3 linked regions of the Ovis aries genome follow. The protein of the gene in region 3 purifies or fractionates together with the protein of the main gene of each other region. This does not show direct contact. Links are inferred from orthologs where the notes say so. Each region holds a gene or a part of one and is shown on either strand. Other genes may lie near its edges.

Region 1 (4,251 bases), on a different chromosome or scaffold from region 3:
ATAAAACTGTAGAGGTCACTGCAGGAGTGTGTTGGCTTCCTGGTCTTGGATGGGTATGGTGGTGGGGATGAGGGTGGTGGAGGCCAGAGTTGTCCATCTTCCTAGGAGTTGGACCACCAGCTATACTTATCCTAGTCTAGCTTTCTGGGAGATATAGAGCTCTCAGGATGAATGCTCTCATTTGCTTGATGTGAGTGGAACATTTGGTTTTATATCTATTTATCCCACATTTACCAAGTACACTCTAAATGTCAGATGCCATACCAGGTGGGGAGGTCACAGGTAGGGTCCACCTGATCCCTGCCCTGAACAGGATAGCAGGGGAAACAGTCATGGAAAAGGGGAGGGAACCATGTGGCACAAGGGTTCTTTGGGGGCACAGAAGAAAAGGATGTGGCAGGTAGCTCTGGAGAGTGATATGCAGGGTCTTTGAGAACCAAGGGAGCAGCATGTGCAAAGGAGAGGGGAGCCTCTATGTTGCTCTCCTGATGCTATAAGAGAAGGGGAGCCTAAAAGAGGATGCAGAGGGCTTTTGGGCTGGGGCGGGGCGGGGCGGTGCTGTGGCTGGAAAGGAGGGAGAGTTGGCATATTAGCAAAGAAACCGATGGCACCTCACTCCACCAAGTGTTTGCTGTCCCCTTGTGGTCTCCGGGACTGCTGCGGCTCCAGGCCCCTTTACGTCGACCTGCCCGCCACCGTACCGGCGCGGTCTCATTGGCATCTCAAATCCAACAAGTCTGAAACTGAGCCATCCTAGGCTCTTCCCTCCATCCGAAGAGTCGCCAAACCCACCTCGTAGTATCTTCCAACTTAATTTCCTTTTCCCCATTCCCAGTGTTGTTTCTCTGGCTCATTCTTTCAACAAATGCTTTATCAAATATTCGAGCACGTATAGGCAGGGCAACTTACGAAGCACCGCGGACATGCCCCTGGGACGTGCGGCCAGGAGTCACCAGAGGGAGGCCCGAGAGCTGCCCACACGAACAAGTCTGACTTGCGCCTTGATGAAAGCCCCCTGTGGGTCGCCAGTGCCCACAGGGTGAGGCTGAAGTTCAGAACTCGGTGATCTAGGCTCTCGCCCCCGCAGCGGCCACATCACCCGGCACCTCTAGCTCCGGTCCAAAGAGAAACCCGCCACTCTGCCTCTGCTACTGCGGTGTGCTCAGCGGGTAACGCCTGCCCTGAATCTTCTAAGGGCCAAATCCTCCGCATCCTTCCGACGCGGACTTCGGACGCGGGACTCCTCTGCTGGCCGCTCCTCTCCCCCGCAGCGCTCTCTCCGCTCGCAAAGGAATGCTCCTTGCCTGGGGCAGAACAGCAAAGACACCCTGCGTGCAGCGAATCCTCGCGTCCGGGGCCAGCTCACTCCCTGGCGTCCGGAACCTCTCGGTTTGCGAACCCGGCCCCTCAGGCCCCGCCCCGTCCGGCGTGCGCGGCCCCGCGACCTCGGCGCGCTTTCGGCCCGCGCCATCTTGGCTTCAGATCGAGCGTAGGGAGTGCGCGGCCGCGGCGGTGAGAGCCGGAGCCCTGCGGGGCAGGGGCGCCTAGAGGTGCGAGGAGGAGAGGGAAGGCCGGGTGCTGGGCCTCTGCGGTGGCCCGTGGCGGTGGGCACCACGGAGCCCGGCCTCTCGTGGCCCCGACGCCAGGGGTGGCCCGAGCAGTCGTTGGCGTCAAGCCTCTGCTTCCCAGTGTCTGAGGGACCCTCGGTTGAGGGGATCGACCCTGGAATCTCTGGATGAGAGAGGGGTGCCCGACCCTGTCCTCGGGGTCCAGGAGTTGGGGAGAGGATCGTTTCTGTCTTTGAGGAGCTTTTGGATGAAGGCTCATGGCTCCGTTTGGTGGAGCATGGGGTGTGGGGGGCGGGGAGGGGGGAGCTTGGCCCTGACCTCTGGGAGCACGAAGTGAGGCGCCTTTGCCCTGGCGCCCCGTGGAGAGCCCAGGGTGAGGAGCACTCAGCCTTGTGCTTAGGGAGTCTCGGGTGAGGGCCTGGATCCAGTCCCCAGGAGCCCCAGATGAGAAAGGTTCATTCCCAGTGCCAGGGAGCTAGAGATGGAGAGGCTTGGCCGGTGTTCAGGGTCGGTGGAGGGTTATGGCCCTGTCCAGAGGACTGGGGTACATGCCCCCCTAGGGGGAGGCAGGCATGACTCCTTGTCCTGGGGATGAGGGGTTTAAAGTCCCATTTCTGGGAAATCTGGGCGGAGCAGCACCCTCGGGTGGGGGTCGCCTGGGACACAGTGCCCACCATCCTTTGACTTCCCTGCAGCAGGGCAGCAAGGCGGACACGACAGCAGGCTGGATGGAGCACTACCGGAAAGCTGGCTCTGTGGAACTCCCCGCACCTTCCCCGATGCCCCAGCTGCCTCCTGATACCCTGGAGATGCGGGTCCGAGCTGGCAGCAAGATCCGCAACCTCTTGGGCTTGGCGCTGGAGCGGCTGGAGGGCGGCAGCGCTCGCCACGTGGTATTCTCAGGCTCTGGCCGCGCTGCAGGCAAGGCTGTCAGCTGTGCTGAGATTGTCAAACGGCGGGTACCAGGCTTGTACCAGCTTACCAAGCTGCGCTTCCTGCAGACCGAGGACAGCTGGGTGCCTACCTCACCTGACACGGGCCTGGATCCCCTCACGGTCCGCAGCCATGTGCCTGCAGTGTGGGTGCTGCTGAGTCGAGACCCCCTGGACCCCAATGAGTATGGCTACCAGCCCCCTGGGGCACCCCCTGACCTCGGGCCCACACCTGCCTCCAGCTGTGGCCCTCAGCCTAGAAGAAGGGCTCGAGATACCCGGTTCTGAGGACCTGTGGGCAAGCTGTTGTCTAGACTGTCTAGGATGGCTGTACCTTTGAGAAGCCTCTAACTGCTCAAGGTCTCCAACAAAACTTGAGTTTAGGAAAGTGGGCCTCCCTGTCCTGCTTCCCCTTCCCTCTGGCTCCTGGAAAGGGACTCTCGTGAAGAGTGACAGGTGTGGAGTCTCTGCCGGGTTCTAGATTGCTTAAGAAGCAACATCCTAAGTCAATGTGTAGGTCAACTTGCCACAGCATAAATAAAATAAAATATTATGTAGAGAAAGAAGAAGGGTTACTCTGCCTTTTACATACAGTGCCTCTCATCTGTCTTCTGACAGAGATCCAAGGAGTGAGTTAGGAAATAAAGGCTCTGTCTGTCTGATGAACCTCTGCTTGGCCTGCTGTGTGGAAGTAGGGTTAAGGGAGTGGGAGTCCCTGCCCTTGACCGCCAGGAGCTCCCAGTCTGGAGACAGGAAAAGTAGGTTCAGATGGGTGCTGGGAGGATCTGGACTGAAGATGCAGCCTCAAGCAGTAACCTGACTGTCTAGATCCCTGGGTAGCTATCTGCTTCCTGTTTGGGGCTGGTTGAAGGACTCTGCATTTTTCTCCACCTGCAGCATAGAGACATACCTCATTTTGTTGCACGCAGATACTACATTTCTTACAGAAGAAGTGAAGTTCTGTGGCAGACCTGCACTGAACAAGTCTGGCAACACCATTTTTCCAACAGTGTTCATTTCGTGTCTCTGTCACATTTTGGTAATTCTCAAAATATCTCAAACTTTAATTATTATATTTGTTATAGTGATCTATGATGTTACTACTGTAACTTAGTGAAAACTCAAATGATGGTTAGCATTTTTTAGCAATAAAATATTTTAAAATTAAGGTATATATGTAGATTGTTTTTTAGCTATAATTCTGTCACATTCATAATAGACTACAATATAGGGCTTCCCTGGTGGCTAGAGGTTGAAACCTCTGCCTCCAATGTGGGAAACCCGCGTTCAATCCCTGGGTCGGGAAGATCCCCTAGAGAAGGAAATGGTAACCCACTCCAGTATTCTTGCCTGGAGAATCCCATGGACAGAGAAGCCTGGTAGGCTACAGTCCACGGGGTCGCAAAGAGTCAGACACGACTGAGCGACTTCACTTCACTTCTTAGAGTAAACATAACTTTTTTAAGCACTGGGGAACCAATAAACTTCTGTGACTTGCACTATAGAGATCTTCCTTTTATTGAGGTGGTCTGGGACTGCACCCAAATGTCTCTGTGAAGTATGCCTATATTACAATATAGTGGTTGAGATCATGGCCTTGGTCACCAAGCTGTCTGGATTTGAATCCTGGGTCTGCCACTTATTAGGTAGTTACTGCTCTGCGCTTTAGTGTTCTCATCATCCATAGAACAAGATGTAGTGCTTGCCTTGAAGGATTGTTATGAGGATTAAATGTAGAAATATACATATGA
Region 2 (4,212 bases), on a different chromosome or scaffold from region 3:
TAAAATACTATCAAACAGCATTGCATGCTACAGAGAAATTGTACTGAAAGTAAGCAAGTTCATGCAGCAAATTCATCGTCTTATTTCAAGAAATTGCCACAGCCACCCCAGCCTTTAGCAACCACCACCCTGATCAGTCACCAGCCTTCAGCATCAATGTAAGACCCTCCACTGGCAAAAAGATCATAACTTACTGAAGACTTAGATAATGGTGAGCATTTTTAAGCAGTAAAATATTTAAAAATTCAGATAAACATTGTGTTTTTTTAGATACAATGCTGCTGCTGCTGCTACTAAGTCGCTTCAGTCGTGTCTGACTCTGTGCGATCCCACAGACGGCAGCCCACCAGGCTCCCCCATCCCTGGGATTCTCCAGGTTGCTGCACACTTAATCGACAAGGTAAGCATAAACTTAACATGAATCAGGAAACCAAAACATTCGTGACTTGCTTTAACATGGTAGTTTGGAACCAGACCCACAGTATCTCTGAGGTATACCTGAATAGCTAGAGAAAAAGAGACGTACATAATGTTTCATGGAAAAACTAAGTCTTCATGGAAAGGTAGGACTGGTAGACAAAGGAACGGGCAGTGCAGGTTAGAGAACCATACATATGACTGGGAACGCCTGAACTGTCTGAGTACGTATTATGTTTCTTAAACAAAGCACTTACCTGTACAATTGGCAAAGTTGTAAAGAGTTCAGAAACAGCTACTGGTTTGTCAATTTCCTACAACAAATAAAGAATAATTTTTAGAAAGCTTATTTCTAGCATGCAGAAACACTAGATAAGCTGTGTGTATGTCCATGTAAAGACAGTTGAAGCCAAGTAGGAGCTGAGAACATCAATGGAAAGGAAGGATGAACAACAATTTTTTAGAATGAAACAATCTGTAAGGAACAATTGTTGGCCTAAGGAGAGATACACATATTTACTAGTATGTTCGGAAGGGAAATCAATCAGTAATGAGTCCATGACGGTAAAATAAAAAAGATGAACTATTGTGATTAAAGTTTAAACAACAACAATGCACTTTTTAAAAAGTTACTTAACATCAGATCGACTTTAAGAATCTTTACACCATACCCCAGCACTTCACAAAAAAGTTATCATTTGTACAGATATGTATCAGCTCAACTATTAACACATAAAACAATGCACAGAGTGCTCATCTGTAGCTTCCACATTACCGATACACACAAAATAATTATAAATGCTGGTTATTATTGTCAGAAATCCTATTTTACCTGTTTCTTTTCCTTAAATTCAACAACATGATTGATGGCAACAACTGAATAGCCCACTGAAAAGAAAAATTGAACATTCTTGTCAAATACAACAACCTCTTTTACACATAAGCTCATACCAATTCATGTCAAGACTACAAGGCAGAAGAATGGTTATGAGTATGGATTCTGGAGTCAGATTTGCCTGTTCTCAAACCTAAACATTACTACTTAAAAGTTACTTAACCTTAAGTTTCAGGTTGTTCATCTGCCAAATGGTGATGATATCAGGATTCATCTCATACAACTGTCATGGGAATTAAATGAGATAACACATGCTGGATGTTTTAGAACAGTGCCTAGCATAGACACAGGGCTTTGTTTGACTTTGGTGATGTATTATCAGCATGATAACAAAGACCTTTATCTTTGCCTATCTTCTTTCAACCATTATTCTTTTTCGTGTCCCTATGTTCATTTTCATCTCATCAAATTTATACTTTTTTCACTATCAACTTCATTCTTACTTTTCCGTTTTTTCTTTTGCTTTTTACCCTTTCTACTTCTTCAGAGACCCTTTTGCTAAGGTGAAACAGGATGACCACTAATTCACACCAATGTCCACGTTCTCCTTTGAGCTACCCACCAAGAGACTGAGAACTCTCTGAAGCCAAGGCCTGGCTTTATCAGCCTCAACACAGCACTGCTCTGGACATGTGGACTTCAAAAATATGTTTAAATCATGACTCCAATCTTTAAGCTATTTAAACAGCAACGGTGACGACAGGATATTAATATTAAAAGATAACGCATATTACGGTCAAAATAGTGGTCTCCCCCCTCATGAGTTTGTCCAAGGTCCTTTTCTTCCTCTCTCAAATATTTACTGAGCGTCCATTACTTAACAGACCCTGAAGAAACCTCTTCTATTTTGAAACCCTTCTACGCCCACTTAGACAGCAGTTGTGATTCACTTCAATAATTAAGGTAAGGTCTTAACCTCTCTCGGCTTTTGTTTCCCCTGGATTCAAACAGGAGTTACATTTTAGCCATTCTGCTCTCCTCCCACCCTCCTAGTAAGTCCTCCGCCCCCACTTACTCTCCGTGTAAATAACATTCCGACACTCGGAACCACATGTCCCCATTCTCAGGGCCCCCACAGGACTCCCCCTCTCTGCATCAGTTTCCCGCATTTGACAGCATCAGGACAATGTCAAGAGACTTAGGAAGGGGCGATATGAAAGGCACTGGTGTAGGCGTATACTTGGGAGCCCCGTCTTCTTCCATCCATCAGCTGTGGGGCCCATGCAGATCCCCCGCCATGTCAGGGCCTCAGTTTCCTCAATTCGCAAGACAGAAGGAGCTGGACTGGGTAACATCTCCCCAGGGCTTTCGAGTTTCCCGCGCCTCGGGTCAGAGTAACACCGCAGGGGCATCAGTTTCTAAGGACACGCCGGAGGCCCCAGGACACCAGAACTAGGCCCGCCGGGTCCCTCCAGAGCATGGCTCGACAGCCTAGGGACAGCGAGACAGCGCAGGCACGGCGGCCCGCGCAGCCCGGGAGACTCACGGTGAGCAGCGTTCTCCACGAGCCCGCGCAGCGCCTTCAGGTCGGAACCCGCCCGCAGGTCCAAGTCGGCAAACGCCGCCATGCTGAAGCCACGTGAGCCCCGGCGCCGGCGCGGCCTCTGGGCCCCGCCTCCCCGGGCATGCCGGGAACTGCAGTTCAGCGGCTCGGCCAGCCCCGCCCTCCCGCAGTCTGCGGGTCTCCGCCTCCTTTCTTGCCTTCAAGTACCAGCAGAAGTTAGCACGTGGAGATTAGCAGCCTCGCTTCAGCCCTTCGTCTTCTTCCAAATGAGAATGTCTGGTTTCTCCTGGGGTTGGGCCGTGGGGGTTCACACCTCCCACCCTTCATCCTTGGAAATAATGTAGAAAATGATTCTTTTAAAATGGACATATACACCATTAATTGAGCGCCTACTTGAACCAAATCCTTTTGCTAAGGGCTGGAAATGCTTTAAAAGTAGTAGGGAACTTGTTCTTTTTTCCCCCGTTAAAGGCCATTCCGTTGTTTAAAATGGACTTAACGGAAAATGGGGAAACTGACCTAAAAGCGGATTGCCAGGGGGAAAGGTCTTTTTCCTCTGTCTGAACTGGGAGTTCACAGCGCGCTACTTCCTTACACTCAATATCGTCAGCCACCAGATGGCAGGGTTCTTTCTAGGATGAGAGGTTAGCTCCATCACTGGTTCAGCCAAAAGCTGGTTAGACAAGAGAGGGGCGTAATTAAAATAAGAAGAAATGTACAATCAAATTCCACACAATTGATATTTCCACATTTTTGAACTCGTGTAAGTGAACTCTTCTTAAATATTGATCAATGATCCGAGAACATAAAACTGTGAAACTGTAGTTGACATCAGATGACATCATGTGGTTGGATGGCATCACCGACTCAATGGGCATGAATTTGAGCAAACGCTGCAAGACACTGGAGGACAGAGAAGCCTGGCGTGCTGTAGTCCATGGGGTCACAAAGAGTTGGACATGGCTTAACAACTCAACAACAACAATAATAGTTAACATCAGTGCTTTTTCAAACGATCTGTGATGAAGGGCCTGGTTACTGCCCTCCCCACCCACCCACCCAGTTGTTCTAGGACCCATTCCTGTTTCCTCCTGCATGACCAATAGACAAATCTGGCCTCAAAAGTTTGGTCTAACATCTGAATTGCTCTGTACTCGACTGAATAAGAAGAGTCCAATAGCTAGGGACTTGGGTATACAGATAAGGCCTAATGGGTGTGAAAGTTTCTAAACAGTTCTAATTTCTGTGCTAACTTATCACAGATAGTACACAGACAATCTCTAGCCTGAGGCCACATCTTGACTTGTATTCGTCTCATGACTTTTCCCCTTGGTCTCAGAAGGGAATTTTAAGAGGGATCTGCCCCATGTTATCGTTGTTCAGTCGCTAAGTCATG
Region 3 (3,622 bases):
TGCAATTTTAGTCCCCAGGGTACTGGACATTAAAAAGGCTGACTATATACTTTCGCCTTAAAAGATAACAGAAGAAGTAAAGGAATGTAATTTTTATAATATACCTACCTAGAGCCTTGAGCTTCCACATGTTTAAGCCGATTACTTTTAAGAAGTTTGTTACCCAGAAAGGTGGTCTGAACCTTCAGTTTTTTGCTTCTACACCACAGAATTGCCATTTGGATTTCTTCAGAAAGTTGTGTGAAAGTCTCAGCCTCTCGGAATCTTTGCACAAGACTTTTTACACAGGGAGTTCCTATTGCTTTCTGAGAAGAATGTTTGGTTGCCTTTAGTTTGGATGGAGAACATTTAAACTCAAAGTTCTTCTCCTGAAATATGGAATGAGAAAAATATATTGGATCTGTTACTGACATATAACAAGAGAGAGAAGTTGACTCACACACTATCAACATTTGAAAATGCATCTTTTTAAAAGAAGGAGAAAAGTTTTTTCCAGTTCCCCATGCTTTCTGTTTGTCTTTTTAAATTCTTTTGACTGTGCCACCTGGCTTTGGGGATCTTAGTTCCTCAACCCTGGGAACAGACTGGTACCCCCCTTGCAGTGGAAATACAGTCCTAATAACTAGACTGCCAGGGAATTCCTTTCCTTAAAAAAATTTTTATTCACTGTTCCTAATACGATTTTTTCCCTTCTGTGCTACAACAGATCCCATCTATAGCTAAATTCAGTTGTACACAAGTAACAGTATAAACATTTACAGACATATTTATTTAACCTGTGTTGCTGTTGTGTTTGTGACCCCATGGACTACAGCCCGCCGGGCTCCTCTGTCCATGGGATTTCCCAGGCAAGAATACCGAAGTGGCCATTTCCTTCTCCGGGATCTTCCCCACCCACAGATCCATCCTGCCTCTCCTGCACTGGCAGGTGGATTCTCAACCACTGAGCCACCAGGAAGCCCATTTAACCTACACATAAGAATAAAACTCCGCATAATTAAGTATTGGTCAAAGTCTATCTGGCGGGAGACAAAATCGCTGAAAGGCTCTTTTCCTCTAATACTGGACTACCACAGCTTGTTTTTCATCACCTCCTCAATGAAGGGTCATAAATGTTGTTGATAAATGTGGAAATGCAGATGACTGCTGAATGTATGCTAAAAATGCTTAACTGAGCAATATTTCCAATTCCAATTCAACCATCTTTTGACGTGGCACCTCTGTCTCTTCAACGTCACTTTTCTGCATGAAGTCAAGTGAATTTTATCAACTACTACTGTTTATTGAAATATGCCACCTACAAGGTCTGCTTCCATCTTGTGTTCAAAACTTCGTTTCTTGCAAATTTCTCATTCTCAAGAAGAACAAGTAATAGTAGTAGAAGGCAGAGACCCATCGATCTTTGTGTTGGTGATCCATAAAGGTTTGGCCTAAAAACACCCTAAGCATGTTGGTGCTAAATGCTAAAAATAAAATAGTGATTGGTCATAAATAAGAGGGATGCTGGAACCAGCTCACATAGGAACAAGTGATGGACTGCAGAAAGTTTCAGGAGTCACAGAGAGCTGTAGTTATTAAGAGAGAGCTGATAAAACTATTTGGAGACTGGTGTAATGATAAACTGCAGGAGACAGTTAAGGACAGGGAAGCCTGGTGTGCTGCAGGCATGGAGTTGCAGAAAGTCAGACACAACTTAGTGACTGAACAACAAATAATATTAAATGACAAAGACTAAAACCAAACTGCCTGGTTCAAATCCCAGTTCTGCCCCATATTTGCTATCTGGCCTAGACAAATTTCTTGTCCTTTCTTTGCCTTAATTTTCTCATCTGAAACATGGAAAGAACAGCACCTACCTCACAGGACTTTTGCAAGGATTATATGAGTTTACACATATAAAGAGTTCTGAACAATGCCCAGCAAAGAGTAAATGCAGTATAAGTATTATGGTGATGATGACATCTTCCTCCAGAACTTGTAAACTGGACAAAATATAAATGCAAGCTGGAATCCTTGTAAACCTTCAAGAAAGTACTGACTTGTTAGAAAAGAATTCTTGAATAGAATGGAAGAAATAGCCCATGAAGAAAACAACTTTGAAAAGAGAGTAAAAGAACTTCTTATCCGTGTCAGATCCAGAACAAACCAAGTTTACAGACACTGGCTGAGGAGAGGTCAAATGCTGACAGCAGCTCTAACACTGACAGAAAGACAGAAATAGAAGCCTCATGATAAAAGATGATGATGATGATAGTGACGATGGAAGTACCTGACAACATCTAACATCAAGTAAGGGCTTACCACACTTGAGACTCTGTGCTGAATACTTTACATGTACTAAAACTGGCAGAGCCCTATGAAGTGTATACTGTTTCTAGAAAATGGAGGCATGGACAGGTCAAGAAACTTACGTAAGGTCACAAACTACTACACACCAAAGCCAGGACACAAACCATCTGACTTCGAAGCCCATGTTCTTAAGCTGCAGTGTAATCCACTCCTATGGTGGATCCTAGGATCATTTTAAAATCCTAGCAAAACCCTTAGTAAAATGTTTCTGAAGGCATTCTATTAACCGAATTAACTAGATGCACTCAGATCCCTTGGAAATGCCTCCACTCATTCAGAAGCAGACTGAGACTAAGATGGCACTATGCCTAGAGCCGAGGATAAAACCAGAAGTGAGATTCAGCCTCTGGCCTTGGTAAGTGGCATCTACACTTAGCAGAAATCATAAGCTATTATTAAAATAAGCCAGACAAACCTGAATAGCTTTTTGTTTCAGCTGTTTGCAGAAAGCTCTCACATCAAATTCTGATGACTTTTCTGTGGAGATAGAGTACAGATAAAACAATTAGGCATACTGTTTTCAAAACAATAAATTCTTAAGTACATGACAACAAAGGGAGTTAAGCAAGCAAAGAACTATGAAGATACAATAGAAAGAAATAACATGCTCAAGCTTAGAAAACACACATTATTAATACCACACGTCTCTAAAGATAATGTGAGTTAAAATTAAGAGAGTTTAAGAAAATGAGCCATATCAAAGCAAATTACCTTTTAAGATTTTCTTACTCTTTACTGGTTGTCCAAGATCCATGTTATTCGGTATATTGATCTTCATTTGTTTAGCTTTTTCAGAAATTCTAAGTAAAGTTTCTTCACCCGACCTCTGTGATTGCTCTTTTGTTAAAAATAGTTTATTTAGCAGTTTGGTTACTCCTTTAGCTACAAAAGCTGTAGGCATTTTTTTCTTAAAGACTTCAAAATAGGGCTCTCCTAAAAATTCAACAATATCAGAAGGAAAGGTAAAACCTTTGAAGTAAGGCAATGGTTGAATCCTGGAGACCTCTTGAAGTAATCCAAACAATGGTTCATATAAAGAAACCAGCTTTTTTAAAACATCTTTATACAGAACCCTAGGGAAAGAAGTAAGAGCTCATGAATTAGCCAGTAATTGTAATTTGCAGATTACATAATAACTAACAGATTCAAAGCTGAAAATAACACCTATCAGTCTGCCGCTATAGATTTAAAACAAAAAAATGCTACAGTGGATACTTGCAAAGAGCTAGATTTAGTCCAGCTTATACAGAAAAATCCAAGTACAAAATGTTAT

Evidence for each region.
Region 1: the proteins of NEPRO (region 3) and RPP25L purify together in Homo sapiens (affinity purification with mass spectrometry; 3 studies listed by BioGRID and IntAct, with this or other methods). This does not show direct contact. The link is inferred for Ovis aries from reciprocal best matches to the Homo sapiens genes RMP64 and RPP25L.
Region 2: the proteins of NEPRO (region 3) and RPP30 purify together in Homo sapiens (affinity purification with mass spectrometry; 3 studies listed by BioGRID and IntAct, counting the BioPlex papers as one, with this or other methods). This does not show direct contact. The link is inferred for Ovis aries from reciprocal best matches to the Homo sapiens genes RMP64 and RPP30.

Annotation. Positions count from the first base shown.
Region 1 is NC_056055.1:36,953,849-36,958,099, forward strand, and holds RPP25L (ribonuclease P protein subunit p25-like protein), read left to right. Parts: upstream 1-1,469; 5' UTR 1,470-1,512; exon of another isoform or gene 1,513-1,550; intron 1,551-2,263; exon of another isoform or gene 2,264-2,266; 5' UTR 2,267-2,296; coding exon 2,297-2,788; 3' UTR 2,789-3,668; downstream 3,669-4,251. UniProt on the Homo sapiens protein: May be a component of ribonuclease P or MRP.
Region 2 is NC_056075.1:12,318,698-12,322,909, reverse strand, and holds the start of RPP30 (ribonuclease P protein subunit p30), read right to left. Parts: upstream 2,894-4,212; 5' UTR 2,881-2,893; coding exon 2,799-2,880; intron 1,306-2,798; coding exon 1,250-1,305; intron 732-1,249; coding exon 675-731; intron 1-674. UniProt on the Homo sapiens protein: Component of ribonuclease P, a ribonucleoprotein complex that generates mature tRNA molecules by cleaving their 5'-ends. Also a component of the MRP ribonuclease complex, which cleaves pre-rRNA sequences.
Region 3 is NC_056054.1:178,668,384-178,672,005, forward strand, and holds part of NEPRO (nucleolus and neural progenitor protein), read right to left. Parts: intron 3,423-3,622; coding exon 3,061-3,422; intron 2,827-3,060; coding exon 2,765-2,826; intron 369-2,764; coding exon 109-368; intron 1-108. UniProt on the Homo sapiens protein: May play a role in cortex development as part of the Notch signaling pathway. Downstream of Notch may repress the expression of proneural genes and inhibit neuronal differentiation thereby maintaining neural progenitors.